Linked DNA regions of Rattus norvegicus. The protein of the gene in region 4 interacts with the protein of the main gene of each other region in a pairwise test. Links are inferred from orthologs where the notes say so. Each region holds a gene or a part of one and is shown on either strand. Other genes may lie near its edges. The genes, in order: Pdgfrb, Ntaq1, Tbc1d10c, Klhl12, Inmt, Ttbk2 and Atxn1.

Evidence for each region.
Region 1: the proteins of Klhl12 (region 4) and Pdgfrb interact in binary tests that used the Homo sapiens proteins (3 or more experiments, as listed by UniProt). The two-hybrid records come from large-scale screens. The link is inferred for Rattus norvegicus from reciprocal best matches to the Homo sapiens genes KLHL12 and PDGFRB.
Region 2: the proteins of Klhl12 (region 4) and Ntaq1 interact in binary tests that used the Homo sapiens proteins (3 or more experiments, as listed by UniProt). The two-hybrid records come from large-scale screens. The link is inferred for Rattus norvegicus from reciprocal best matches to the Homo sapiens genes KLHL12 and NTAQ1.
Region 3: the proteins of Klhl12 (region 4) and Tbc1d10c interact in binary tests that used the Homo sapiens proteins (3 or more experiments, as listed by UniProt). The two-hybrid records come from large-scale screens. The link is inferred for Rattus norvegicus from reciprocal best matches to the Homo sapiens genes KLHL12 and TBC1D10C.
Region 5: the proteins of Klhl12 (region 4) and Inmt interact in binary tests that used the Homo sapiens proteins (3 or more experiments, as listed by UniProt). The two-hybrid records come from large-scale screens. The link is inferred for Rattus norvegicus from reciprocal best matches to the Homo sapiens genes KLHL12 and INMT.
Region 6: the proteins of Klhl12 (region 4) and Ttbk2 interact in binary tests that used the Homo sapiens proteins (3 or more experiments, as listed by UniProt). The two-hybrid records come from large-scale screens. The link is inferred for Rattus norvegicus from reciprocal best matches to the Homo sapiens genes KLHL12 and TTBK2.
Region 7: the proteins of Klhl12 (region 4) and Atxn1 interact in binary tests that used the Homo sapiens proteins (3 or more experiments, as listed by UniProt). The link is inferred for Rattus norvegicus from reciprocal best matches to the Homo sapiens genes KLHL12 and ATXN1.

What each region holds. Positions count from the first base shown.
Region 1 is NC_086036.1:56,794,348-56,797,847, forward strand, and holds part of Pdgfrb (platelet-derived growth factor receptor beta precursor), read left to right. Parts: coding exon 1-58; intron 59-555; coding exon 556-767; intron 768-2,942; coding exon 2,943-3,037; intron 3,038-3,500. UniProt on the Homo sapiens protein: Tyrosine-protein kinase that acts as a cell-surface receptor for homodimeric PDGFB and PDGFD and for heterodimers formed by PDGFA and PDGFB, and plays an essential role in the regulation of embryonic development, cell proliferation, survival, differentiation, chemotaxis and migration.
Region 2 is NC_086025.1:91,580,359-91,583,858, forward strand, and holds part of Ntaq1 (protein N-terminal glutamine amidohydrolase), read left to right. Parts: intron 1-922; exon of another isoform or gene 923-1,049; intron 1,050-3,107; coding exon 3,108-3,207; coding exon of another isoform or gene 3,208-3,215; intron 3,216-3,500. UniProt on the Homo sapiens protein: Mediates the side-chain deamidation of N-terminal glutamine residues to glutamate, an important step in N-end rule pathway of protein degradation.
Region 3 is NC_086019.1:210,910,592-210,914,796, forward strand, and holds the start of Tbc1d10c (carabin), read right to left. Parts: upstream 2,801-4,205; 5' UTR 2,783-2,800; exon of another isoform or gene 2,623-2,782; 5' UTR 2,597-2,622; coding exon 2,445-2,596; intron 1,730-2,444; coding exon 1,630-1,729; intron 1,270-1,629; coding exon 1,162-1,269; intron 1,076-1,161; coding exon 969-1,075; intron 808-968; coding exon 693-807; intron 79-692; coding exon 13-78; intron 1-12. Other genes in the region: Ppp1ca (serine/threonine-protein phosphatase PP1-alpha catalytic subunit), read left to right, coding at 4,053-4,107.
Region 4 is NC_086031.1:48,479,265-48,482,049, reverse strand, and holds part of Klhl12 (kelch-like protein 12), read right to left. Parts: intron 1,372-2,785; coding exon 1,176-1,371; intron 367-1,175; coding exon 208-366; intron 1-207. UniProt on the Homo sapiens protein: Substrate-specific adapter of a BCR (BTB-CUL3-RBX1) E3 ubiquitin ligase complex that acts as a negative regulator of Wnt signaling pathway and ER-Golgi transport.
Region 5 is NC_086022.1:85,649,956-85,654,173, forward strand, and holds the start of Inmt (indolethylamine N-methyltransferase), read right to left. Parts: upstream 2,801-4,218; 5' UTR 2,746-2,800; coding exon 2,589-2,745; intron 1,378-2,588; coding exon 1,170-1,377; intron 1-1,169. UniProt on the Homo sapiens protein: Functions as a thioether S-methyltransferase and is active with a variety of thioethers and the corresponding selenium and tellurium compounds, including 3-methylthiopropionaldehyde, dimethyl selenide, dimethyl telluride, 2-methylthioethylamine, 2-methylthioethanol, methyl-n-propyl sulfide and diethyl sulfide.
Region 6 is NC_086021.1:128,162,417-128,165,916, forward strand, and holds part of Ttbk2 (tau-tubulin kinase 2), read right to left. Parts: intron 216-3,500; coding exon 4-215; intron 1-3.
Region 7 is NC_086035.1:18,942,347-18,946,568, reverse strand, and holds the start of Atxn1 (ataxin-1), read right to left. Parts: upstream 2,801-4,222; 5' UTR 2,608-2,800; intron 2,551-2,607; exon of another isoform or gene 2,397-2,550; intron 1,460-2,396; exon of another isoform or gene 1,318-1,459; intron 1,282-1,317; exon of another isoform or gene 1,080-1,281; intron 920-1,079; exon of another isoform or gene 1-919. UniProt on the Homo sapiens protein: Chromatin-binding factor that repress Notch signaling in the absence of Notch intracellular domain by acting as a CBF1 corepressor. Binds to the HEY promoter and might assist, along with NCOR2, RBPJ-mediated repression. Binds RNA in vitro.

The DNA.
Region 1 (3,500 bases), on a different chromosome or scaffold from region 4:
GGGGCCGGGGCATGCCTCAGCCAAATGTCACCTGGTCTACCTGCAGAGACCTCAAAAGGTGAGCACACCTTGAGGCCAGGCCTCCCAGAGTATATGCAGCTGCCTAGAATGCTCCTTTAGGGTAATCTAGACCGGCCTCTTCACCTGAGAGGTCCAGGCCACATCTTTGATCATTCCTCTGCCTTCCGGGAGATACCTAACCCACATTTCTCCTTTTCTTACCTTGATCCTGAGCCATCCTCAACCTAGGAAGGTGCAGGGTCTGGCCCCCAGAGGTGTCTAGTTCACCCAGTGGATATGCGGGGATTGCCTCTCTATCCTTAACACGTTGAGTAACCTTGAGTCAAATGAGTGAATTTTGCCATTCAGGAGTCTCAGTTCTGGACTGGGAGCGCCCCCTGCTGGCCCATCTAGGCAGCACAGTAGGAATCTGCTTAAAGAGCAAGCAAAGAAATCAAACGTTTCTACCACCATTCACAGTCTTACTTTCCCCCACCATTTGCAGAGAGGAAGCTAAGAGAGTCTGCAAGCCAGTCCTTTTGTGTCTCCTGGCAGGTGTCCGCGAAAACTGTCACCCACACCCTTGGGGAATAGTTCCAAGGAGGAGAGCCAGCTAGAAACGAACGTGACTTTCTGGGAGGAAGATCAGGAATATGAGGTGGTGAGCACGCTGCGCCTGCGTCACGTGGACCAGCCACTGTCAGTGCGCTGTATGCTGCAGAACTCGATGGGCAGAGATTCACAAGAGGTCACCGTGGTACCACACTGTGAGTGCCCTAGCTGCGGATGGCTCTGATGAGCTCTCACCCCTTCCTTGATCCCACCTCACTGAGTCCGAGTTCCCAAAGCAGATCAAGTCAGCATACTCAGAAGAATGTTACAAAGTCTACCAGAGTAGGTTCCTAGGTGCGCACACGAAATGTGACATTGACACAAGTGCACAAACACAACTTTATACACCACAAACACGAAACACATTGACATTTAGGTGTAGAAAGTGAAACTGGCACGCGAGATGCATGCTGTAAACTTGCATGAGCCGGTTGATACTGGGAGTCAGGCGTACACTCTTCACGGGCACGCCGTCTGCGCCGAGGAGGCTTTGTCTCCAGAGTATATGCGTGTTAGCATCTACTCAAGCATACCCAGTGCTGTTCGTGGATGTGAAACTGCAGAATATATTTTTGTGAGCCGTGCGTATGAGACCAGCCAGATCTAATATATCAAATGCTGAAAGATGAGTGGGGATTAGCTAGCTCGTGAGGGCTGTGGAAAAGCCTAGCATAGGCTCTGTGTGGGTTCTGAGGAGTTGAAGCAAATGAGCCCGGATGCAGGGCACACTGTATGTGGATTTGGAGTAGGGGAGGGATTAGGGAGGGAAGTGGTAAAGAATGGGGCTACAGGATGCAGAATACAGCTACAAGATACAGGATACAGGATACAGCTGCAAAGAGTATTTCGTAGACAATCAAACACAGACCCATGCACACTGCGCATATACCTGAAAACAGAGACATGCACACACCCACGCAGGTGTACACACACAGAGGCTTCCGCAGGCTTGTACATGTCTGCTTATGTACATGCCTGTCACCTGCCCTTAGAGGAAGGGTGAGCTTTTAAAGCATCCTTACTGGGACTGCAGAGATGGCTCAGAGGTTAAGTGCACTTGCTGCTCTTCCAGAGGCTCTGAGTTCCGTTCCCAGCACCCACATCAGGCAGCTCACAACCACCTGTAGCTCCAGATCCCGTGGATCTACAGCCTTCTTCTGACCTCTGTGAGCATCCACATGTGTGGCATTCTGTCATACAAATGCTCACATATATACACACAAAAATATATAAGATATGTGTTCATTGCTTTAGGCATCGCAGATTTCTTTGCACTTGCACTGCCAAGCATATAGTCCTTACGGTCTAGGTGTTAGAAAAATTAAGTGCCCTTATTCCCCCATATTCTCATCTATGCACACAGGTAGACTAGCTCTGGGCCCGAGTAAATGCAGAGGAAAAGTCATGTGTGACGCCTGCACAGGACGCCATGTGCTATTACACGGAGACCCAGCTATTACACGGAGACCCAGGATGACTCTGATGGGTCTCTGGAGAGTGCAGGCTTCCTTTGTAAGACCAGGATGTAGGGATGTAGGGAAGAGAGAACAGAAATGTCAGCCAGTGACCCTGAGAAGGAAAAGATGGGGCTAAGCCAGAGGAAGGCTCCCTGGGGAACAGAGGAGGGCAGGAAGAAGCAAATTCCCAGAGCACAACAGCTCCTGCTAAGTGGGAGAGGACAGGGGATGGGGGTTCAGCCAGGCTGACTAGGGAGGTGATGTAAACAGTGAGGCTGAAGTCTTGGGCTAGAGAGGACTCAGGGCTCAGGGAGACCTGCATGTTCACCTCAGGGCCCCGGGAGGTGCATACTGACTGTGCCACACACACTAGTGGTCCCCAGGCTGGGGCTGGGAGGAACAGACTTCTGGTGGTGGATTATTCAGGCTGCTGAAGTTCAGAGTCAGCTCCTTCGGGAGTCACTCGGTGAGTGCCTCAGCCATTTGGTTAGGAATGGCTCTTAAATCTATGACCCAGGAATGACTGCCCAATAGGGCATGGACTCAGAGAAGAGGGGGTCGTGGCCTGGTCCCCAGAGTGCCTAATGCTGTGAGAGGCATAGGTCATTCTCAGGAACCAGAAGAGAGTTCCCCAGCCTAGCTGGATGTTGCAGAAGCCAGCCTGAGCCTGACTGTCATCTGAGGGGAGTCACTGAGGGGCCCTGGGCTTGTAGGAAAGACCAGAGTGTAGGCCCTGAGGTCAGATATCTAGGCAGTAAGAGCTCACGTGCTCAGCAGAGCAAGTCCAACGGATCTGTGATGCTCCCAGCAAGATGGGGAAAGCAGCTACCCAGATACTGTTTGCTTATGGCCTACTCTGGTCTTTGTCCTCAGCCTTGCCTTTCAAAGTGGTGGTGATCTCAGCCATCTTGGCCTTGGTGGTCCTTACTGTCATCTCTCTCATCATCCTCATCATGCTGTGGCAGAGGGTAAGCCTGTGTATGGGTGCAGAGTGGTACCCATATTTCCTCACGGTCTCCACTGTATGTTACACAATCCAGCCCATAGGAAAGGCACAACACAGAGTTCAGCCTGGAGCTGACTTAGAGCGTTGCTGGGTCTCCAGCTCCCTCAGTCCTTACTGGGCTGACGTGATCAGTCCAGGACTCTTGCCCCTGCTCTTTCCTCTGCCTCAGTCCTTCCCGCTCAACTCAGTCCTGGTGCAAATGGTGCATTGTGGGTGGACTATCATGGCCCCAAGATTCTTTCAGCTCTAACCCATAGAGACTGCCATGAGTCACAAGAATGCAATCTGACCCCAGGATTCTGTTCTGACGCTCTATTCTGACATTTCCCCTTTCTGTAACTCCAAACACTTAAGATTCCGGAATTGGGACTCTAGTCCCCCTTCATCCTGTCATTATAAGATTCCAATCCTGTGACTCCAAGATC
Region 2 (3,500 bases), on a different chromosome or scaffold from region 4:
CTGTAATGGGAATCCAATTTCCTTTTCTGGTGTGTCCGTGGATGGCTATAGTGTACTCATATAAAATAAATAAATGAATCTTTTAAAAAAAGGAACCTTTAGCTTCATTTTTAATTTAACTTTATTTTTTTTAAAGATTTATTTATTTATTTTATTTATGAGTACACTCTATCTGTCTTCAGACACAGCAGAAGAGGGCATTGGAACCCATTACAGATGATTGTGAGCCATCATGTGGTTGCTGGGAATTGAACTCAGGACCTCTGGAAGAACAGCCAGTGCTCTTAACCGCTGAGCCATCTGTTCAGCCCTCATTTTTTATTTTTATTTAGTTTTTTATTTATTTGTTTTCTGGAGACAGGGTTTCTCTGTGTAGCCCTGGCTGTCATAAAATTCTATCTGTAGACTAGACTGGCCTCAAACTCAGAGCTCCACCTGACTCTTCCTCCTGAGTGCTGGGATTAAAGGCGTGTATCACCACTACTGCCACATTTTATTTTTTTCCCTATGTAACATTCACAGAAATTTGAGAAATATCGGGCAGTGTATATTCAAGCCATATCATGAGTTCTGCCTGCTAATGCTGTTTGTAGACTCTTGAACGGTGCCTTAACTCCAAACCACCTTCAGGATGGAGACGGGGACAAGGCAAAAAGGAGAAACTGCTAGCCTGTACCTAAGCTGTTTCCCCATCTCTCTGAACTAATGACTCCTCCTCTGCTGTCTTTATGCACCTTTAATGGACCCCCTGGGATAATTGGTGCTTTGCCTCTATGCCTCTGGTCTGTAGGCATTAATTCATGATCTAAGCACTTAGCTGTGATGTGTATCTCATGCCCTTGAAGATGCTCCTGGTTAAGTTCAGAATTCCTGTGAGACCAGACCAACACATGTCTTCTCAGAACTTGGATAAACATTTTATGGGGTGTGCTCAGAGCAGAGGGCCTAAAGAGTGGCTTCTCTGTTTACAACGCACCCAAGAAGAATCTGGGACCATTGTAATGAGGGGCACAAGCAGTTTCCTCTCTGTGACTGGATCCCCTACATCTGTCTCCCCTATTCATCCACATAGCTTCCAGGCGAAACCAGTGGGACAGGACTTGGTATGGGGGAAGTGTTCCAGCATTTAGCTGCAGGGCGATGTCTAGAGCATAGTTGGTCCATGAGTGAGTGTCCATGGGTGGTCTGAGGAATGACGACTGGACCTGAGTTGGTTCTCTCTTCTCCTCCTGGATACCCAGGAGCGCACGCAGGTCTCAGGCTTAGCCTTTACCCTCTGAGCTAGTTTGCCCTCCCTGAATCTTTCTTAAAAGTGTAGGTGGGGTAAGGGGGACTAAAGTTACCAGCCAGCAAACTGGAAGACTTGAGTTCAATCTCTGGGACCCACAGTCCCTGAAAAGTTGTTCTCTGACTTCCACACATGCACTGTGACATGCAAAAATCTCTGTGTCTGTCTGTCTCTGTCTGTCTGTCTGTCTGTCTCTCTGTCTGTCTCTCTGTCTCTGTGTGTGTCTCTCTCTTTAAATGTAATCGAAAAAGCGTATTTCAGGGCTGGAGAGATAGATAGCTCTGCCGTTGGCAGCCCTGGCTGCTTCAATTCCTAGCAACCACATGGTGGCTCACAACCATCTGTAATGGGATCTAATGTCCTCTGCTGGTGTGTCTGCAGACAGCTACAGTGTAATTGTATACATAAAATAAATGCATAAATAGTTTTTAAAAAAAGAAAAAGCACATTTCTGTAATACTTTTTGTTTACTATAATTTCATAAATTTCCTGCATGCTGTTCCTGTCTTTCTCAGGTAGTGAGGTGTGGATGAGTAGAAATTGGCTCTAACAGTGAGTGATAGGGCCAGCAGAGCGCTCATGAGGCTTATTCTGAGCAGAGGTGTATCTGATTCATTACATACAGATAGGGACCCAGAGGCTGAGCCATGAAGTCAGCTAGGAGGAGTGCCTGTGCTTGCCTGTGCTTGGGAAGGAGGCTCAGTGTGATACCCTGAGCATTGCTTAAGCAGGTTCTGACTATGTCACATAGCTAATTGCCTGTCACATAGGGAGAGATTTGGCTGGGATAGAGCAGAGCATAGGAAGATGAATTTCGGTTTCCACCTTTTTTTTTTTTTTTTAAAGCTCTGGCTGTCCCGGAACTCAGTCTGTAGACCAGGCTGGCCTCAAACCCAGAGATCTGCCTGTCTCTGCCTCTGCCTCTGCCCCTGCCCCTGCCTCTGCCTCTGCCTCTGCCCCTGCCCCTGCCCCTGCCCCTGCCCTGCCCCTGCCCCTGCCCCTGCCCCTGCCCCTGCCCCTGCCCCTGCCCCTGCCCCTGCCCCTGCCCCTGCCCCTGCCCCTGCCCCTGCCCCTGCCCCTGCCCCTGCCGTGCTGGGATTAAAGACGTGTGCCAACACTGTCCAGCTCCTAAAAGGACTTTTAAAATGATTTTTTTATTTTTTAAAATGGAAATGTTTTCAGTTTATTTTAATTTCATATATGTATGTGAGTGTGTATGTGAGTTTGTGCTTGTGAGTATGTCAGATCCCCCTGAAGCTGGAGTTACAGGCAGTTGTAAGCTGCGATGTGGTGCTAAGAATTAAACTAGAAGAGCAGTAGGCATGGTTAATCAATCACCAAGCCAATTCTCCAGCCCTATTTATTTTTGAAACAGGTCCTTACTATGTGGCCCTATCTGGCTTTGAATTGGAAGAGATCTGTCTCCCAAGTACTGGGATTTGAGGAAGGTGACAGTGTGGCGTAAGATTGAATTTTACAGAGGAGAAAAGCAGGGTTTGGAGAAGCCAGGAAGGAATTGCATAGCTGCTTTGCCTGGTGGTGATTGAGTTGGGATTCCAGAGTTTCTCAGCTTTTGGAGTCCTGACATAGTTTTTACTGGCCTCAGTCAGCCTCCTGGGGTAGGAAAGGGCCCTCTGCACGTGTGCACCCAGTACAGGTGGGCTAGCAGCTGTTGGCTGTGCCAAAGCCACCTGTTAACCAGCTGTCAGATGAGGCGGTTACGGTCTTCTCTAGTTATATCCTCACCCATCTTTTGTTTAAATCCAAAAGACAGCTGTTCACTTGTAATTATATTGATTAAGCAATCATTTTGTTTCAGTGAGGAAAACATTTGGAAGCTCTGTGAATACATCAAAACACACAACCAGTATCTGTTGGAGGAGTGCTACGCTGTCTTCATATCGAATGAGAAGAAGATGGTAAGTTGGTAAGTGATGACGGAATGAGGTGAGGCTCAGGGGGACCTGAGAAGCCAAGTACAGCGCAGACACTGTGCTGTTCTAACATACACTTTGGAGCAGCAACCTTTCAAACATTTAGTTTCATTTAGATTCACTTTAGAAGTATTTAGTCCCTTACTCTAGGTGACAAACCGTGTGATGGTGTATTTATGCAGATTACATTCCCTCCCCTCCTTCCTTTTTGAGACAGTGCCTCATAGTATAGACCTTGGCTGACCTGAAACTCACTGTGTAGACCAGACTGGCCACAG
Region 3 (4,205 bases), on a different chromosome or scaffold from region 4:
CCAGCCTCTTACCATGTGGGGCCCATAGTAGCCAGGGAGGTAGACCTCACAGATCTGCACCAAGCACCAGAAGGCTTCCTGAGGGCAGGGCACAGGCCTGTGAGTACTCAGGAAGGAATTGTCCATAGAGGGGAAGGAGGGGTGGGACACATGCACAGGGGCCTGGATTCCTGCCACTTCCACCCTGCTCAGAGCCCACCGTGTCCAGGAGGGGAGGAGTTGGAATTCACAGGGCCTGGGGTTCTATATTTGAGGGCCATACGGTTGTAGCAAAAGTTGGGAGACTCTCAGAGCTTATATCCCAGAATCCTAAGGTCATTTGGGTGCCTCCCACCCCAACCCACGGCCAAGGCCACAGTGCTCCAGATCCTCAGTGCCACAAATTATAAGACAGGGAAAGTCAATGTGAGGGAATGTTCCTGGTAAGCCTTGGCATGGTACAGATCTCAGAATCAATATTCAGAATGTTAAAGTGAAATTTTTTTCAGACTCCTAGATCACTGGAGTAAAGGTCAGGATCAAAGGTCCCAGGTTCAGAAGTCAGGGATAATAAACTTAAGGGCTAGTGAGATGGGTAGACATGAGGCTTTGGTCGCAAGAACAGGGCTTGAAGTAAAGGAACACAGATTCCTGAGGTCCGAGTACCTGGGGTTGGGGTTGGGGTGTCTCAGAGCAGGGTCAAGGTCACTCACCTCTGGGGGCAGATGCATGAGCAGCACAGCAGCTACAGGTCCCTGAGCCTGGCAATATCCCTGTTCTGGCCGGTACAGGGTGTAGGCCTTGAGAACCTGCAGCAGCCCCTGCTGCCTGTGCCAGAAGATCTCATTAAGGCTAGCCTCCCAGGCATCCCTGCCCTGCCCTCTGTGGCCTCTGCCCAGGCTATGGTCTCCCTCATCCAAGGATGTAAAAGAATGACTAATGGATCTAGCACGAGGACCTGGTGTCACTGGGTATCCCTTGCCTCGTACCCATGTCCCTGGGGTGACACAAACATCTCGTGCAGAGGGAACTGCCGGTGCAAGTCCCTGCCAATGGTCTCCATCCACTGCGGGTCCCCTGGGGCCACTGCCAGCTCCTGTGGGTGGTGGGAAGGTACATGTGAGGGGTCAGATGGCAGGGAGCTCTGAGAAGGAGTAATAAAGATTCTGCCAACTTTCTCACCTGATAGGTGCCAGGATTGTTCTTCTGACACATATGGGCCCCACACAGTAGGGGCCAACACCGGGCACGTAGGGCTGAGGGGATGCCCTTTCGGCACTGTATCTTTACCTGTGGGTGGGGTCAAGGTGTGTCAGGTTAACTTGTCTTGCTCTCTTGCAGGTCCCAAGCACAGAAGCACAATTTCCTTCCTTCCTTTTCTTTTGTTTTTTGTTTTTGTTTTTGTTTTGAAACAGGGTTTCTTTGTGTAGTACAGTACTGGTTGTCCTGGAACTCACTCTGTAGACCAGGCTGGCTTCCAACTCATAGAGACCTGCCTCCCTCTGCCTTCTGAGTGCTGGGATTAAAGGCACACACCACTACTGGTCAGCTCTAAGGACAGCTTTTCATTGGTCAAGAGTCCACTTGGGCAGCAGAAGCAGGGGGATAAGAGCTTTGGGAACCAGTGTACATAGACCTCTCTTTCCTTACCTTCTTATATCGTCGAGACATGGTCTTCTCCCAGTGTAAGGTCATTTCTACCCATTTCATCTCCCGCTGGCGAATAAGGTCTGCAGGGGGTTGACCAAGCCTGGAGGTACAGAGCAGACACAGTACCAAAGTATTCCTTGGAACATATACCTTCCCATTCCAGTCTATCAGAGAAACCCCAGCTCCTGGTCTGGGGCTCTCTGAAGAGTCCTGGGAAATGATCTGTGGCCCAGAAGCTGCCAATGGCTGTACAGGTAAAGGAAGGGATTTGGGCCTCAGTAGGGATGGAAGCTGGCAAGGCCAACGGGATGAGGAGACGCGTATTTAGAGAAGGTCTGTTTGGCTGTCCTCTAAAACAGAGACAGAGATGGGTCACAGGGAAGCTGGGTGGGCAGGACAGTGCCCTGCACTGGAAGGCAGAAGCCCTGAGTTTGAATCTGCTTCTGTTTCTGATCTGCTATGTGATGTGTCAAGTTTCTGTCTGAATCTGATTAACTGTATTAGGTAAACCTGGAGAAGAGAATGAAAGACATCCGAATTCCCATCTGGAGTTCTTGGGCCAGAGATGAAAAGGGAAAAGATGTTCAGTTTGAAGAGAAAGTGCAGACCCTCGGGGGATAATAGAGATGTAAAAGACCTTCCCTCCACCACCCTTCTTACCTTAATCCCACATGGAACCTGAGGAGTGACACTGGAATGTCACAGCTGAGTTCTGGGCTGGTGTCTACAGCAAGACCCTAGAGGCCAGGCCTGATTCCAGAACTCAGTCCTCAGCCTCTGTCCCCTACCATCTCCCCTACCCATGCCTCACTTACCCCAGCTCAGCTGAGTTGCCCCCAATGAAGCCATATCGGTCAGCCTGACGATATGGGCTGGACCCACTGATCTCTGAGTCGGACCCTAGAGAGCTAGAATCATCCTGTAGTTCTGACGGTAGCAACAAGTCCTCTCCCAGGGCCTGGGCCATTCTGCCCTAGACCCCAGTGTCACAGGCTGCAAGACATATAGAGAGCCAGTGTGAACAGCCAGACTGAGGCTGGGGTTCCAGGAACCAGTCCTCAGTCACGGGGGAGTCAGGTAGTCCCTGAGGTACCACAAAGACCAAGTCTCTGTGTAGAGACCCACCCCAGGCCTGGCCCCTAGCCCAGCTCACCTCCTTGCTGCACCTCACCTCCTCCTCTCACTTCCTCCTCAGTCTCAGCTTCAGCAGCCTATTGGGGGCCCCTCCCTGGTGGGGGGACTCCCCCCTTCCTCTATGAGGTTCTTCCTGCTTGCCTTAGTGCCTGAGCCACGGACTCCTCCCATCACGGATGGGAGGTGTGAAGAGTCCCCGACTTGCCCAAGTTGAAGATGACAGGCCACTATCGGTTTTGAGGTTACTTGCGTGTAAAACCAACTCATGGTTCCAGTAATAATTATGCTTTAATGTCGTCCCACCACTCCAACCCACTGTCCTGGGTTTTCTTTTTTGAGAGTGAAAGGGTACAGTCTGGGAACAAGGGTCTCACGTAGCCCAGGCAGGAGATGAACTCACTATGTAGTTGAGCATGACCCTGAACTTCTGATCCTCCTGTGTCCAGACTCCTGAGTGCTGGAATTTCAGGCACTGGAATTACAGGTTTATGATACATTGGGTTCTTTAATGTGTTACTGTTTAAAAATAATACCTTTCCCCCCTTTTCTTTCTTTACTTTCCTTCCAGAGCCGGAGATAAAACCTCAGGCCTTGCACATGCTAGACAAGTCCAAGCATTCTACAAAGGACTTACAACAGGAAGGAGATAAAATAGTATTACATCACTTAACGAAAAAAAAAACCTGACGTAGCAGGCACCAAGGCAACCTGGACCAAAACATTGCTTCGAGTTCAGTAGCAGGTGTTCATGGGTCTGGCCATAAAGACCGAGGTGAATGTGAGGCTCTGGAGGTTTGGAGCTCACTCTCAGTGTCATTGAGCCTTAGTTCCTTTTTCTGCACTTCGAGGAATTACTTTACAGTGTTTGAGAAGTCAGCGATTAACATGCTCACACCACAATCCCACGCAGGGCTGGGGTGGGAAGAGACTTGGAAAGAGAAAAACAATTTCTACAGTACTTCCGGTTCTAACTCATCAGAACGCAGCAGGGCGATTCCTCCTGGGTGGAGCCGACCCAACTCCGCCCTACAAACCCCGCCCTCCACCCCTGCCAGGCCTCGCCCGGCCGCCCGAGGCCCTCCCCGGCTGCAGTGCTTCCGGTCCAGGGGAGGCGCTAGAGAGCAGGGAACTACGGACGCGGCAGGGCGGGGCGGCCGGCCGAAGAGGCGGGGCGGCGGGCCGAGGGCGGGCTGGGGAGGGCGGAAGGAGAGCCAGGCCGGAAGGAGGCTGCAAGAGGGCGGGAGGCAGGAGAGGGCCCGGAGCTGGTGGGCCGGAGCGGCGGCGCCGCCATGTCCGACAGCGAGAAGCTCAACCTGGATTCCATCATCGGGCGCCTGCTGGAAGGTGGGTAGGGGTAGGGAAGGTGCGCGCGCGCCGAGCCTGGGCCCATCGCCGTCCGGAAGTAGAGCGCGGGCGGGCCCGCCGCTCTCGGGGGCTAGCGT
Region 4 (2,785 bases):
TTCAATTGATTCAGTTCTATTTTTTCCAGGTCGGAGAATATGCAACATCCTGCACATTGCTTACAAGAAAAATATAATCCTATTCATGGACAATACATTGAGATAAATCAGAGTTTTTGTTTGATGTGAGTATATACACATAATTTTGGTAAAAGTGATGCCCTCTGGAGTCCACTAAGCTGGCCCAGCCCCACCCCAGGCTCATACCTAGACAGTAGATTATGCCGCTGGCCACCACTAGTCCCGCGCCCTCTCGAGCTGTCTGCATATCTCCCAGCATACTCCACTGGTCAATGTTTGGGTCATACCGCTCCATACTTGTATGACGCCTGCTTCCATCAAAGCCTCCAGAAACGTAAATCATATCTGCTCAGAGTGAACAAATTATAGACTGTTAAATTAAGAAGGAAAAACTTCTAGGACTTTTTTCTCTACAAATCACTGACTGTTAAGATGCGAGGAGGAGATGCACACATGAGTGTAATTACCTCACTCAGGAGATTCAGGAGGAGCTTCAGGAGTTCAAGGCCACTGTGACCAGAGACAAATTCAATGCCAGCCTGAGCTATTTGAGAACTTGTCTCAAGCAAACAAATTCTTATTCTTTCTTCAAGTTGATTTTTATTATTGTTCTTAAATTTCCCACTGTGTATATTAACTGTATATGGTAGTGTGTGTGTAAAAGTATATTTTGTACTCTGAGCATTTTCCCCTTAGATGATAAGTCACTCAAGTCTCGGAAGAAGAAAGGCAGTACAAACAAGCATTTAAAGCTCATTCATGCCTTTATGTACACCCGAGTTTCAGACAAGCTACACAGGGAAATTTACTGAACTCCATCTCAAGAAAATAAAAATTCTTAAGAGATCCGGGTGGTGGTGCATACTTTAAATGTCAGCACTCTGGAGGCAGGGGGAGGTGGATCCGAGTTCAAGGTCAGCCTGGCCTACAAAGGGAATTTAAGGGCAACCATGGCTATATAGAGAAACCCTGTCTTGAAAGACAAAACAAAATGAACTACAAAAAGAAATACTTAAAGGCACTGACGACTGTCCACATGGAATTTATAAACTATGACCAGTGCCCATGACCGTACAGCACAATTGAGCTCAGACATCGGTCATGCTCCCATCAAAGTAGAGGAGCTAAATGAAGCAGCATTTATCATCAACTACCTCCCAGTGTGGTGGCTCCAGCAAGGCCTCGCCGCACATTCATAGGGGCCACAGAGTACCACACTCCGTCTTCATCTGCTGTGTAGTCTAGACACTCCACTGAACTGAGGCGGGAACGGCCATCATAGCCACCAATCACATAGATCCGATCATGTAAGGAAACCGAGGCCACATACCGTCTCTTGCGAGTGATACTCTATGGATTTGGGAGAGAAAAGGAAGAATACCATTCAGATGGGCAAGCTCTAGCCCCACCTTTCTCCGCACCCTGCCTGTTCTAATCTTCTTTGCTTATACCCTGCTTCCCTTCACACAAGGGAAACCCCCTTGTGGCTAAGGTTCACCTTGAAAGGGGCTAGGTGACCACCTACAGAGTGAAATGCTTCTGCCTCATTGGGAGGTTTACAGAACATGTGATAGCTTTCTACTCCCCTTAAGGCACTGCGCCAAGAGACTGAATATCCTTCCATAGGAAAAGAACTGGCACATTGCTAATCCTGAGTCAGTACTGAAATACCCTAAAGGGTACGAGTGGTCCAAAGGCTTTCCATGTCTCCTCAGAAATGGTTCTTGGTTGTACAGTACTGAAATACCAAAAGGAGACTTAACTTTTTCAGTTGAACAGGACTCAACATAACTGAGTTTAATCTAGCACAGCATGACCAACAGTACAGGCTGTGCAGCCTGAACGGTGGTGGCAGCTAAATGTAATACATGGCTCCTGACACTTCCACAGTGAGAACTTCTAAACAGACAGAAACTAAGCTGGGTGTGGTGGTGGCACATGCCTATAATGCCAGCATTTGTCAGCCTGAGGCAGGACTGTCATAAATTTAAGGTCAGCCTGGGCTATACATTGAGTATCAGGCCAGCCAGAGCTATACAGCAAGACCTTATCTCGGTTGGGGATTTAGCTCAGTGGTAGAGCGCTTGCCTAGGAAGCGCAAGGCCCTGGGTTCAATCCCCAGCTCCGAAAAAAAGAACCAAAAAAAAAAAAACCTTATCTCAAAAAACAAGCCAACTGGTGGCTCAAATGTGTAACCCTGGCACCCAGGAGGGTGATGAAAGCCTGTAAGTTTGAAGCCACCCAGGGTTACATAGTGAGACTTTGTCCCAGGGAGGGATGTGTGTGTGTGTGTGTGTGTGTGTGTGTGTGTATGTGTGTGTGTGTATGTGTGTGTGTGAGCAAGACAGTTTCAGGAAGTAAGGAAGCCTGTATGTTTGTGACCAGTCAGGAATACAAAGTGAGATGTCTCAAAACAAACAAACAAAAAAGGGACCAGCAAGATAGTTTGGTAGGTAAAGGTGTCTGCTGCTAAGGCTGATAACCCAAATTTGATCCTTGAGAATTGTTCTCTGACCTCCACACACATGGTATGGCACAGATACGCCCACATGTGTGGACACACACAAAAACAATGGAATAAGAAATGGAAAAAAAAAAAAAAAAAACAAGAAATAACTACTACTATCCAAAGAACTATACACAGTGCGGCTGAAAGGGACATGCACTGTGCTATTCTGAGCTTTTCTACTCACTAAGCTGGTCATTTATGAGCTAGTGTCAAGAACCAATGACATTTCAACTTTGCTGGAAATGGTTCCACCAT
Region 5 (4,218 bases), on a different chromosome or scaffold from region 4:
TTGTACACACATACGTGCACACACATATACACATATATACATATGCATTTAACATACAGATATATACTCTCATAGACAAAGACATACACACATTCACATACACATATTTATGCTGCATCCACACATAATGCAAACACAAATACACATGTCACACACACGTGCACACATGTCACTCTTATCACACAGCCTTGTGTGTGGTCTTGGTGGCCCTCCTGATGCCTGGCCATGTCTTCTTCATATGTGGATCTGCAGCCCTTGCTGTGTAGCTCATGTCACTTGCATGGCCTTCCTGAGACACATCCCTGTTTCCTCACTTCAACTACAGGAGCTTGATCTCCCAGGAGAGATCACCTCTAGCCTCTCCTCCTGCCTCATATTACCTCTCTCCATCTTCCATGGTGGTAGCTATCTTCCTGTGTAACAGGAGCTCCATGGGGCTCCCTCCTGGCTGTGTGTGCGCTTGACTCATGACACCCAGATGGGACTATCTCCAAGGCTCCTATAATTGTGTCCCTCTAACTATGACCACTGTAGACTGTTCTGGACTGTAACAGTTATGCACTCTGTTTCAATATTACAGGACAGAAATATTAACCTGTTTTTACTCTGCTCTGAGGATGGCTAGAGGACCCTCTCTAAGCCTGGGCCTCAGTTTCCCCATCTGTAGGATAAGGTCAAAATCGCTGATCCTTGCAGCTGCAATTGGAGCATATATCCTCTGTGAACAAAAGTGACCTGCAGAAGGTCACTGCCATTAGTCTCAGTGCTTTGTCACCACGTTGAGGGGACAAGTGTGAAGTACACCCCATAGTCTGTCTTTTCATAACAAGTGTGTTCCCCAATGTCAGAGGAGACACTGAACCAGTTTCCAGAGTAAAGTGGGTGTGGTGTGAGCTGGGTAGTCGGCAGGACTTCCTGGAGGAGGTGGCATAGAAGCTTGAGTCACAGCTGGGTTGAGCAGAGAAAGGGAGAGTAGGGCCAGATGGTTTTGGGAGACATTAGGGCTAGAGTTAGGACTAACCCAGAGGGAATGTTATAGGTTCACGAGGATAAGGTGGGCCAGGAGGAAAGGGAGGTGCGTGGTGGGTTCCTGTGCTGTCCTGAGTACCAGAGGGGCCTTGTCTGAGAAGGACTAGATGGGTGGACAACATGGGACCACTTGCAAATACCTGTCTCCCTCCAGCTCACACACATGTTGTACAATGGAGGACCAGTCATAGGCTCCTGGCTCCTTCTTCAGCCATTTCTGCAGCTCCTGCAGGTTCTGTGGGGTGTAGTCAGTGGCGATGATCTCCCGGAAGACCTCGCATGCTGAAAGCAGCTGGTAGATGGTGGGGCCAGAGCCAATGTCAATCAAGACATCTCCCCCTACACCTCCTGTGGAGATAGACAGCATGGCAGGTCTGGGCACCCTGACTTCACATCCTGCAGAGTGACTCCAAACCACATTAGGATGCGCCTGCTCAGAAGGGCAGCAGCTGCTTGCCTCTGGGCTGTGTGTTGACAGGACTGGGGAGCAATGCTCGGGGTGGGGTAGAGCTGATTTTCTTAACTGCCTCCCCATTACTCCCAGGATACCAGTGGAGGCCTGGGAGGTATGTCTGGCCTTCTTGTTAAATTTAGGATTTCTCTCTCTCTAATCATGGGTTTATCTGGAAGAACATTGGATTTAGAAAACTGGGGGAATTGATGGAGTGGCAGGGTCTGGGATAAAGGCTGAGAAGGATGCCAGCCAGTTCTTAAGCCCTCTGGTTTGCTAGGAAAGGCAGCCACACATAAGAAAGCGAGGCACCCTAGTGTATGCCCTCTCAGCCTGCTCTCTTCTCAGTCTCCTTTTATACCTACTATGCTCCTGCCAAGGACCAATGCCTATACTGTGTCCCAGCTTTCTCCAGGAGCACCAGACTTCCCTTCCTCTACATTCTGAGGTTGCTCACCTGTTCCTTGGCACTGAATGTCTGGTTAAGAAGGCTTTCACGGGCTGGGGCGGGTGGTTTTGCAGAGAGCAATCTCCAGGGTCACACAGAACACACTCCCCATTAGTGCTGGGCCACTCTAAGTATTATGCTTTCTTCTTGCTTCTTGGAACTATTAGTTCCCCAACTTTGACTGGCCACCTCTTTCCCTCCCCACCATGCCCAGCCTTAGTTTCCCCTTAGACGTGGGAGGGGGGCAAATTATGGAAACTTGTATACAGGTATGTGGGGAAGAATTTTCATTAGATTTTTTTTCAGAGAGATTCAAGGTCCCAGAAAGGCTACAGAGCTTTCTGGAAGGCCTCTGGCAGAAAGGGAGGGAGGAGGAGCAGCCTTAGTGCCCAGTTTCATGTCACTTCTCTCAGCACGGGCCTAGTAGCCCCACAAGTCTGGGTGTACCCCTCAAAGTTTACAAGTGAAGCGGCTAAGGATGATCATGGCTGCAAGCCAACTTCTTTGCTCCAGAGGCATGGCTCCTCTGGACCAGCACACACTGCCGTCTGGGCCCTGTGGGCTTCCAGGCTAGTCACTTCTGTAGCGTCTGTATGTACAGGATGAGCTCTTTCTGTTGGCACAGCTCCAGCCCCTCCCTAGGGGACCTCAGCCACTCACCTGTAGAGAAGGTCTGGTAGAGGTTCTGCAGGCTGAATTTTACAATTTCCTGTTCTGCCACCGTGCCAGAGTCGAAGCTGTAGAAGGTGGTCAGGTAGTCTTTGGGAGTGAACTCTTTTTCATAGTCCTCACCTCCCATGTATACCTTGCCTGCCATTCTAGTCAGCCTCCACAGCTGCCTGTATTCCTTTGTCCCTGCAGAATGCTCACTCCTTCCCACCTTACCTTTTATAATCTCTGTGGTAAACTTCCCTTCTCAGGGAGGAGCTAGGGTCCCTGGAGATGGTGTCATAGTGCTGGTGTCAGATTTCTGGCTAGATTTGATTTTTGTGATGAAGCAAGAGGATGCTAGAGGGCCCCCAGTCCTGTCCTGGGTCATTGGGTCCTGAAGCTCTCATCTCTAGTTCTCTAGGGTCACGGTGTGCCAACGACTGGAATCGGGAGAGGGAGAGTATTACAGAGGGATAGAGATGCACAGACAGACAAAGAGGCAGAGACCAAAGAGATGAGGATCTGCTCGGGGATGCTTCACTCCTGGGGTTGAGAGTTGAGGGTGGGGACACAGGGCCAGGCCCCTGGCCAACACATTCAGGGCCCCTGGGCTTCATCTTGGATACAGCAAACAAAACAAGAAGCAGTGCTGAAGTGCTCCTCAGGCTGGGGAAGTAGGAGGATCAGAGATTCTTAAAATCTCTTTGCTATTCTACACTCAGTGAACTTGCCCTTGTAAACAGCTCATCTTTAACTGAGTTAATGATTCTCCAGTGGTTTAAGTCTTGTTTTCTCGTTTGGCTTAATGTTTTCTTTTATGAACTCAGGAGTAAACTTTGACAGCACCTCCCCAAGTCACTAGGCCTGTGCCTTGGCCAAGTCCTGCATTTGGACAAACAATTGAAAACATGTATTGGCACTACATAGAATGCCACACCTCCTCAGACACATGTGTGCACATGTGCGTGTTGTCCTCTACTCGTCCCCAGAATCATCAGCTTACATAGATCTGGTGTGGTCTGGTTTGGTTTCTTTGAAAGATGATGCCCCAGTTTGCTTTGTATTGCAATGGTAAACACCAGGACCAAAAGCAACTTGAGAAGGAAAGGATTTGTTTGTCTTGCACCTCCTGATCACATCTGTCACTGAGGAAGAGCAGGGCAGGAACCTAAGCAGGAGCAGAGGCAGGGACAGGGAAAGAACACTGCTCACTGGCTTACCCTCCATGGCTGGCTTAGCCTGCCTTCTTATATAATCCAGAACCACTGGCTAAAGGGTGGCACCACCCTCAGAACACTGGGCTCGCCCACATCAATCATTAATCAAGAAAACACTCCACAGGCCAGTCTGATGGAGGTCATTCCTCACTTGAGGGTCCCTCTCCCCAGGTGACTCTAGTTTGTGTTAGCTTGGAAGAAACTAACCAGCACAGTCGCTACCACAAAAGGAAAATGGACAGGGTGGACAGAGGCTGTGTAGACTCTTATTCTACTGTAGGAGAGTGTACAATGATCACACACGTGCGTGCACACACATATGCACCCACACGGGAGGGCACATGTGTACAAGCTTGCCTCATCTCTTTCCAAACGTCATTCAAGGTGAGAGCTTCTGGGTAGCAAACTTCAGAATGTGTTCC
Region 6 (3,500 bases), on a different chromosome or scaffold from region 4:
TACCAGGTCTCAAGAAACTTATCAGTATCTGGCTTTGGCTCGAGAGTCAGACGTTTTTCCAGCTCAAAGCTGTGAATGGAACGTAACTTCCTTACTAAAGGAACATCTCTGTCTGGCTGAGTAATCTCTGATCGGACACGAATTGGTGAGCCAAGGCTTGGAGCATTAAGAATTCCATTCACTTGACCATGGCTATTTTCTTCTTCAGTAGCTGCCTAGAAAAAAATAGAAAATACAATCATGAAAATTATTCCAAAGTTATACACAGGAGAAATCACTGAAGCCTTTGAAATAATGTCAACAAAAGATTACATGTATTTTCAGAAAATTAAATCTTTAAAAATTTAACTTTGAAAATTGTATTTACTTACTGTATATATGTATGTACATGCCCAAACTACATGTGACTATGGAGGTCAGAGGACAACTTGTGGGAGTGCTGACTCTCCGAGATGCAAGCTGCCAGGTAAGGTGGCAAGCACTTTTACCTTCTGACTCACCTCACCAGCCAAGAAAACTAAGATATTTTGACTTTGGGCCTGGAGAGATGACTCAGCAGTTAAGAACATCTACTGCTCTTGCAGAATACTAGAGTTTGGGTTCCAGCACCCACATCGGGTGACTCAACCACCTGTAACTCCAACTCCAGGGATCTGAAGACCCTGACCTCCATGAGTACCTGCACACACATGCACATAATTAAAAATAAAAATATTAGACAGTAATAGTTTTGTTTTATTAAATTTCTGTTTGTCAATTCTTTATACTCAGTTTTTCCTAGGTTTACACTTGGTGTTAGTATTAACTTACTTGTTTAAAATTATTTTTTGTAGAAGAATAGTTTGATAATGTTTAAAGACTGTCCTTCTTACATTACAACTATTTTAAGACAGGTCTCCCCCCCACCCCCCCCCCGGAGCTGGGGACCGAACCCAGGGCCTTGCGCTTGCTAGGCAAGCGCCCTACCACTGAGCTAAATCCCCAACCCCACATTACAACTATTTAAACGTTTAAAGAACCCTACGTCACTATATTAAAATTAAATCTTGGAAAGGAGGTTATTTTTGTGACATACAGACCTCACCAGAGTTAGGAGAGACTGCCCAAACTGTCATACCCCTTTCTCATTCCCTCCCTCAAAAGCAAACAACAAAACCAACACTTCGGACTAGAACAAGAAGCTGCTGGAAACTGCCAGGGCAAGCAGAAGGCTGGGCACAGGGTAATAGGCTACACAGAGTCTGTCTCAAACCAACCGACAAATCCAAATGACCAAATTCCTCAGGCTGGAGAGATGGCTCCATGAGTTACTAGTACTCACGGCGAGTCACATCTAACTTATCTCTAGGTTTCAGAGACCCTGACACCTATTTCTGGTATCTGTGGGCAACATACATGCAAGCCAAACACCTACACACATAAAATAAAAATAAAAATTAAAAGAAAAGAAAAACCCCCAAAGCTATCAAAATCTAGTTTGTTCTGGTGCCATAAGGACTGCCCCAGTTGATATTACAAAAATCAGATAGCAAAAGTAGTGGGCTTAGTAACTGATGCATTGAGTTCAATCTCCAGCAATGCACACACAATATTGAATCCCTACTTTTGACTACTCATTGCTGACTTCTACGTGTAGACATTATTCATTAGCCAGACCAATGCTTTTACAAATGTCAGAAAGTATGTATGCCTAGGCTATAATCTGAACTTGTATATTCTCATGCTATATTTCATGTATTGAACGCCCTAATTCCAAACTAAGATAATGGGGTATGTGGGAAATGACTAGGTCATGGAGGCAGTCTCCATAAAACTGGTATCTTTATAGGGGGTCCTAAAGAGACCCCCAAATCTGTCTCGATCACTGTAAGTGATAAAGTTCTGTTGTTTGCAAGGTACCTATTTCATATTTTTATTATAGCAGCCCAAACATACTAAGAATATATCCTTAAGGGTATTTTTCTTTTTTAAAAAAGATAACATTTGACTTAAAAGAAAGGAAGGAAGGATTACTTGGCATAAAGATGGAGCAGAGACTGCGCATAGCCAACCAATGGCTGCCCAACTTGAGACTCATCCAATGAGAGAGCCACCCTTACACTATTAATGATGCTCTGCTCTGCTCTGCTCACAGACAGGAGCCTAACCTAAGTCTCCTCAGATGCAGAGACCCACAGCAAAACACCAGGGGAGTTAAAGAGATCTAGTGGGAGAGTGCGGGATAGAAGTGGGCAAGCAGAAGGTCAAGAACACCAAAAGAAGACCCCATAGAGAGTGGACTACCAACCAGGGCGTGTGCAGAAGCTAGACTCCCTAACAAGCCAAGTGGGGGCTGTTTCAGCCTCTGCTCCCTCCCATTGGATCCCTTCCCCAACCTGGGACTGCTTGGTGGTCTCAGTGGAAGAGGATGTGCTTAGTCCTGCTGGGACTAGATGTCCCAGGGTGGTGTGGTGCCCAAGAGAGGCTCCCCTTCTCTGAGGACATGGGGACAACAGGACAATGGGAGGAGGAGAGGAGGAGGACGTGGGCTGTGATCAAGATAAAGTGAATAAAAAAATACTGAAAAGGAAATGAAAACAAAAAATTACTTTTATTTCTAATTGCATGCTGGGGTCTATGCCTGTGCACTTGTGTTTGTGTGTGGGGGTGGGGGCACATGCACACATGTTAATATATGAACACTGAGTGCAGATGATTTTAAGCATCCCAAATCATCAGATCTGGAGCTAGGGTTAAAGGCTGTGAGCCAACAGACATGGATGTGTGGTGAACTGAACTCAGGGCCTTTTCAACAGCAGTCCCTGTTGTAACAGCTGTGCCACCTCTCCTGTCCCTCTGTAAGGTAGGAATGGCTGGCCAGCTTTCTAGCAGCCATATTTTAAGGCTGAACCCTAACCTTCACATTCCCAACTACACCCTTTCACACTGTCATCATTTTCAGGACAAGGTTTCTGTGTAGCTGTGGCTAGCCTAGAACTCACTATAAACCAGCATGGCCTCAAACTCAGAGACAGAGATCCGCCTGCCTCTCCATCTCCCAACTGCCATGATTAAAGACACAATAACAACTACTACTACTGTAATGAATGACCTTTTCAACATTATCTTCATATTCCAAGAAAGGAAAAGAATCAACAGTGAGAGCAAAGAAAAGTCTGAGGGTAATCTGCCCACGAGTTAAAAACCCACCTATTTCTTTTCCACACTCACAAGTGGACCTGCGTATAATTCTATCTTTTATCACCCACTTTACCAGTTTATGATCAAGTGTGATCTGTGCTCTCCTCTTCCCCTCATTAGAGACAGTGCACCAAGGCTGTGAACAGAGCTGCACTAATCAGAGTCAAGAAAGGGAACAAAGCCCTGCCGTCATCTGGAAAGATGGTCCGCTTTTGTTCTACAGATGTTTCTTTTCTGTTTGTCATATGATTTCCCTCCTTCCTCCTTCCCTCCATCCTTTTATGGTAGAGGTGGAGATGGAACCCAGAGCCTTACATATG
Region 7 (4,222 bases), on a different chromosome or scaffold from region 4:
CACTTATTTGCAAAGCTGCTAAAATATTGACTGATGCGTGGCCAGTTAGAGGACAATCAGAGGAGATTAAATGCCACAGTTAAGCTGTTATGGTGCAATCCCTTTCCAAGAGGGCTTGTGCATGTTTTTCCTCTCTCTGGTGGCTACCTCTAGCTTCCGCTGGCATAAGCTTCATTCAAAAATAAAATAAAAATAAAAATAAAACCCTCGGCTATCAAACTGTCTCAGCTACCCACCCACCATCAATAAACCAGAGGTTTAGGCTTAACGAGGGCTTCTAGGAATGACAGGGCTCTTCAAAAAGCCACACAGAAATGGTTTAGCAAACACTCTTGCAAAAAGTAACCAGCTGTACCTAAAAATACCCAGCCTGTAACTACCTTGTTGCCTACGATCTATAGCAATGCTGTTTAAATATTAAGAAGAGCTCGCATTATAAAACAGAAATGTCACTGAGATGACACCACTAGATTGCTACAGGGAAACATAGGACATACACACATTCCCCTGCATGCCAGGCAGGATGTGAGGTGAGAGCTCTAAAGCATTACTTTTTCTTCTGTAGGTGGTGTGGGGTCTTCTAATTTTACTAATTGTATCCTGTGACTCTCTCTCTGACAAACTAAGAAATCTCTTCGGGGACAGAACCAGTTTGGAGGAGTTCCTACTGCACAACATACGGTAAACAAAATAAAAATAGCTTGCCTTTCTTGTTAGCCACATAGCGCATTATATAACCAGCTTCCGACTGGCTCTTTTTTTTTCCGCCCTTACTACTCTTCAACAATTTCCCAACCTTCCCAAGTATTTATATTACCCTCTTATCTGTAGGATTATACAGCAAGAAAGCAAAAACAAAACAGGACAGCCACGGGATCGAACTAAACCCTTTCGTCTTAGAACCCTGATTCTCCCACCCCGCCCCCCACCCCCACCCGGCGCCCCTGGTAGAGTCTAGACCAGCACCCTACTTCCACCCCCCACCACTAAGGTCCTTGCTCAATCTCTCTAGAAAACCTGAATTGTTTCACCGCTTGCAGTCAGCTCTCTACGTGGTCTGAAATAAAATGAAAGCTCACAAGCCACAGAGTTGAAGGAGGTGGCTAAAGAGAGGTCGAAGGGCTGCAGAGTCAGCTAAGGGACCACTGTGGACCCCACTCCCCATCGCGATGGTCCTGGCCCCCCGCCCGGCGCGCGAACACACGCGCACGCACACACACACACACACACACACACACACACACACACACACACACACACACACACGCACCTACACACTCACACGCACTTACTCCCTGCTCTCCGACCCCGCCTCACCTCTCGCTCCGCCCGTCCGGCCCCTTCCCTACCCCCTGCGGGACTGGCCTGCGCGCTCGGCTGCAACCACGTAGGAGGCGGCGGCGGCGGCGGCAGCCCGGGCAGTGGCGGCGTCTCGGGCCCCGAGTGAACGAGCCGCGGGGCTCCGGGGCACATCCCAATCCCCGCAGCGCCTCCTCCGCCGCCGCCTCCTCCTTCCCCTCCTCCCGTCTTCATTCACCCTCCCTGCCGCCGCGCAGGAGAGCAGTCCCGGCGCAGGGCAGCGCCCGCAGCTCCTCCGCTACTGCCGCGGGCGCCGGCAGGGACGCCGGGCCGAGCTGGGGCGCTCGCGGGCTCCCGGCTCCCGGCTCCCGGCTCCAGCTCCGGTGGCGGCGGCTGCCGCTGCTGCTGCTGCTGCTTTGGATCAGGAAGCGGCCGCACCAACAGGGCGGCGGTGGCGGCTGCAGCTAGGGCCGGTCCCTGTCGCCTCTCCCACTGCGCTGCGATGGCCCGCGTGCCCTTGCCCCCTGAGCCGCCACCTCTCCGCGCCCCCGAGCCTCCTGCAAGTCCCCTCTAGGTCCCCTCCTGGCCCCGAGACGCTGGCCTGGGCGGGGAGACCCCAAGCTCGGGGTTGCCTCTCTCAAGCTAGGCGACCCCGGGCGGGGAAGCCCAGCCCTCCCTCGAGCCCCCGCAGCGCTCGCCGCCCCCACTCGGGAGGGGGGCTGTTGAGGAGTGAAGAGGGCAGCGCGACCCTCCGCGGCTGCCGCCTCCCCCTACGCCACACGGAAGGAGGAGGACGGGGCTCTATGCGCTCGCCGCCGCCGGACCAGCAGCAGCCGGAGCGGGGCGCCGCCGTTCTCCCCACCCGCGCCCCCCGCCCGGGCGCGCCCCCTCTCCTGGCGGCCGCCCACCCAGCCCCTAGCTGCTCCCCTTGCTAGCCGCTCCTGCTCCCAGTGGGGGTCCCGAGCCGGGAGGCAGGAGCCGGGCACTGGTGTATGTACACAGTCACACATACACTCGCGCGCGCCTGCACACACACCACACACACACACACACACACACACACACACACACACACACACACACACACACACACACACCACGACGCGTCGGTTTCCTTCGCTCCTCTTCCAGCTGTTTTCCGTGCAGCCCATTGAGACTGGGGGAGGGGGGTTTTATGCTGGATGTTTCTTTGGCCCCCTCTCCGGAGAGAGCGGATTGGGGTGCGGGAGGAGGTGATTTTAATCTAAATCGGGGGGAGGGGGAGGGGGGAGAGAAAGAATCAGAGGAGGAAAAAAAATAGCCACTTACTGTAAAGTGTAAATGGATCTGGGGTTGCGTGGGGAAGGGGGAACAGAGGGAGAGACACAGTGTCCTGCGGCTGTTGTAGCTCTAGCTGCGGCTCCACGGGGCTTGTTTTGGATCCCCCTGCAGTGAAACAGGTCCTGTACGGCTCCTCCACTGTAGTAGAAATGATGTCTGCGGTATACTCTGCTCTCTCCTCCTCCTCCTCCTCCCCCCTCCCCTCCCTCCTCCCTCCGCCCGCCCTCCCTCCCTCGCGCTCTCTCTCGCGCTCGCTCGCTCGCTCCAGTATGTAAATGTGTAATAGAAGCCAAATATGGAGCAGTTGGCTGCCGCCGCCGCAGCTCAAGGATCCGACTTCATGGGGGGGGGGGGGGGGAGAGGCACCCTCTGGCAGGCGGCCCGGCGAGCCGCACAGAGCACGGCGAGCGCACGGCGCGGCTGCCGGCCCGCGCCCTTAACCCTTCTATGCACCCGGGCTGGGGCAGCGCTCGCTCCAGGGGAGGCCGGGTGTCTCTCCGCAACTGCGACTCCAGATCCCGGACACCGACCGGAGGGAACTGTGCCTTCCAGGTTTGAGAAAGGGGCGGGGAAGTTGGGGCGATGAGGTCATTGGAGTGGTGACCGATCGGTGCTCGCGCGCCTCCCCGGCTCCCTGCAACCTAGTTGGAGGGGGACAGGGTGAGTGCAGGGTGCAACTCAGGCAACCTGGGAGACTCAGAGCAACGGGTGTCAGGCTTTGACTCCCACCTGGTAAAATACCCAAGGGGGCGGGGAAGTCGGCTGATTCTAATTACGAAGCACCCAGGGTGCCCCTGGTGAGCATCTAAGAGGACTCTTTGTATCCCCGCGGTTAACTAGCCAGCCCGCCAGTCCTGAGCCACCCGATGCTAGGCCGGTGCCTTCTGCCTTGGCTTGCAACTCCGGAAAGTTCTCAGGCTTCCCCAGCTTGCACCGGCACCCTCACCTTTCCTGCCTGGACAAGCTGGCGACCTCCTGGGCCTCCTTTCAAATTCTGCTGGTCTAGAAATCTGCTATGAGCATCGAACGTCTCAGCTCTAGCCCTGGTAACCGAACTGCTGCTCACTCCTCACAGCTAACTGTGGACCATTCATCTCATCTCAAGTGAGGTAACCCGTGCACTGAGCAGTGGATGGTGGTTCTCGGGAATCCAAGGCGAAAGAACTTCCCACCTTGGCCCGGTGGCTAAACGCAGACGCGGAGTCCCCACCCGCCCCCTCCGGCTACACCTCAGCCGGGTGTGAGCTCCGTGGGAAGGAATCTTCTCCGGAGGAGTGCACCTTGCCAACAGGTGTGGCATCCGAAGGAAGAGCCCGCACCTCCCCAGGAGGGTCGCTCGGTGTGGCGATCTCTTTGCTGCAGATAATTCTTGAAGACCAGTAGGTGTCAGGCCAGCATCTGACCTCTTTCAGGTGCTTAAAACTAAGAGTCTGGAAACTTGATCCCTTGGTCTCGCTGGAAGCCACTACTATTGACTGTAGCTGGATTTGAGAGACCTTTTGGCTCAGTTTACGTAGGACCTAACAGTTAGTCACTATCTGAAGCAGCGTACAGAGTCACCGAGAGAAACGTGTGAGCTTTTAAACTACTGTATTGTGGAGCC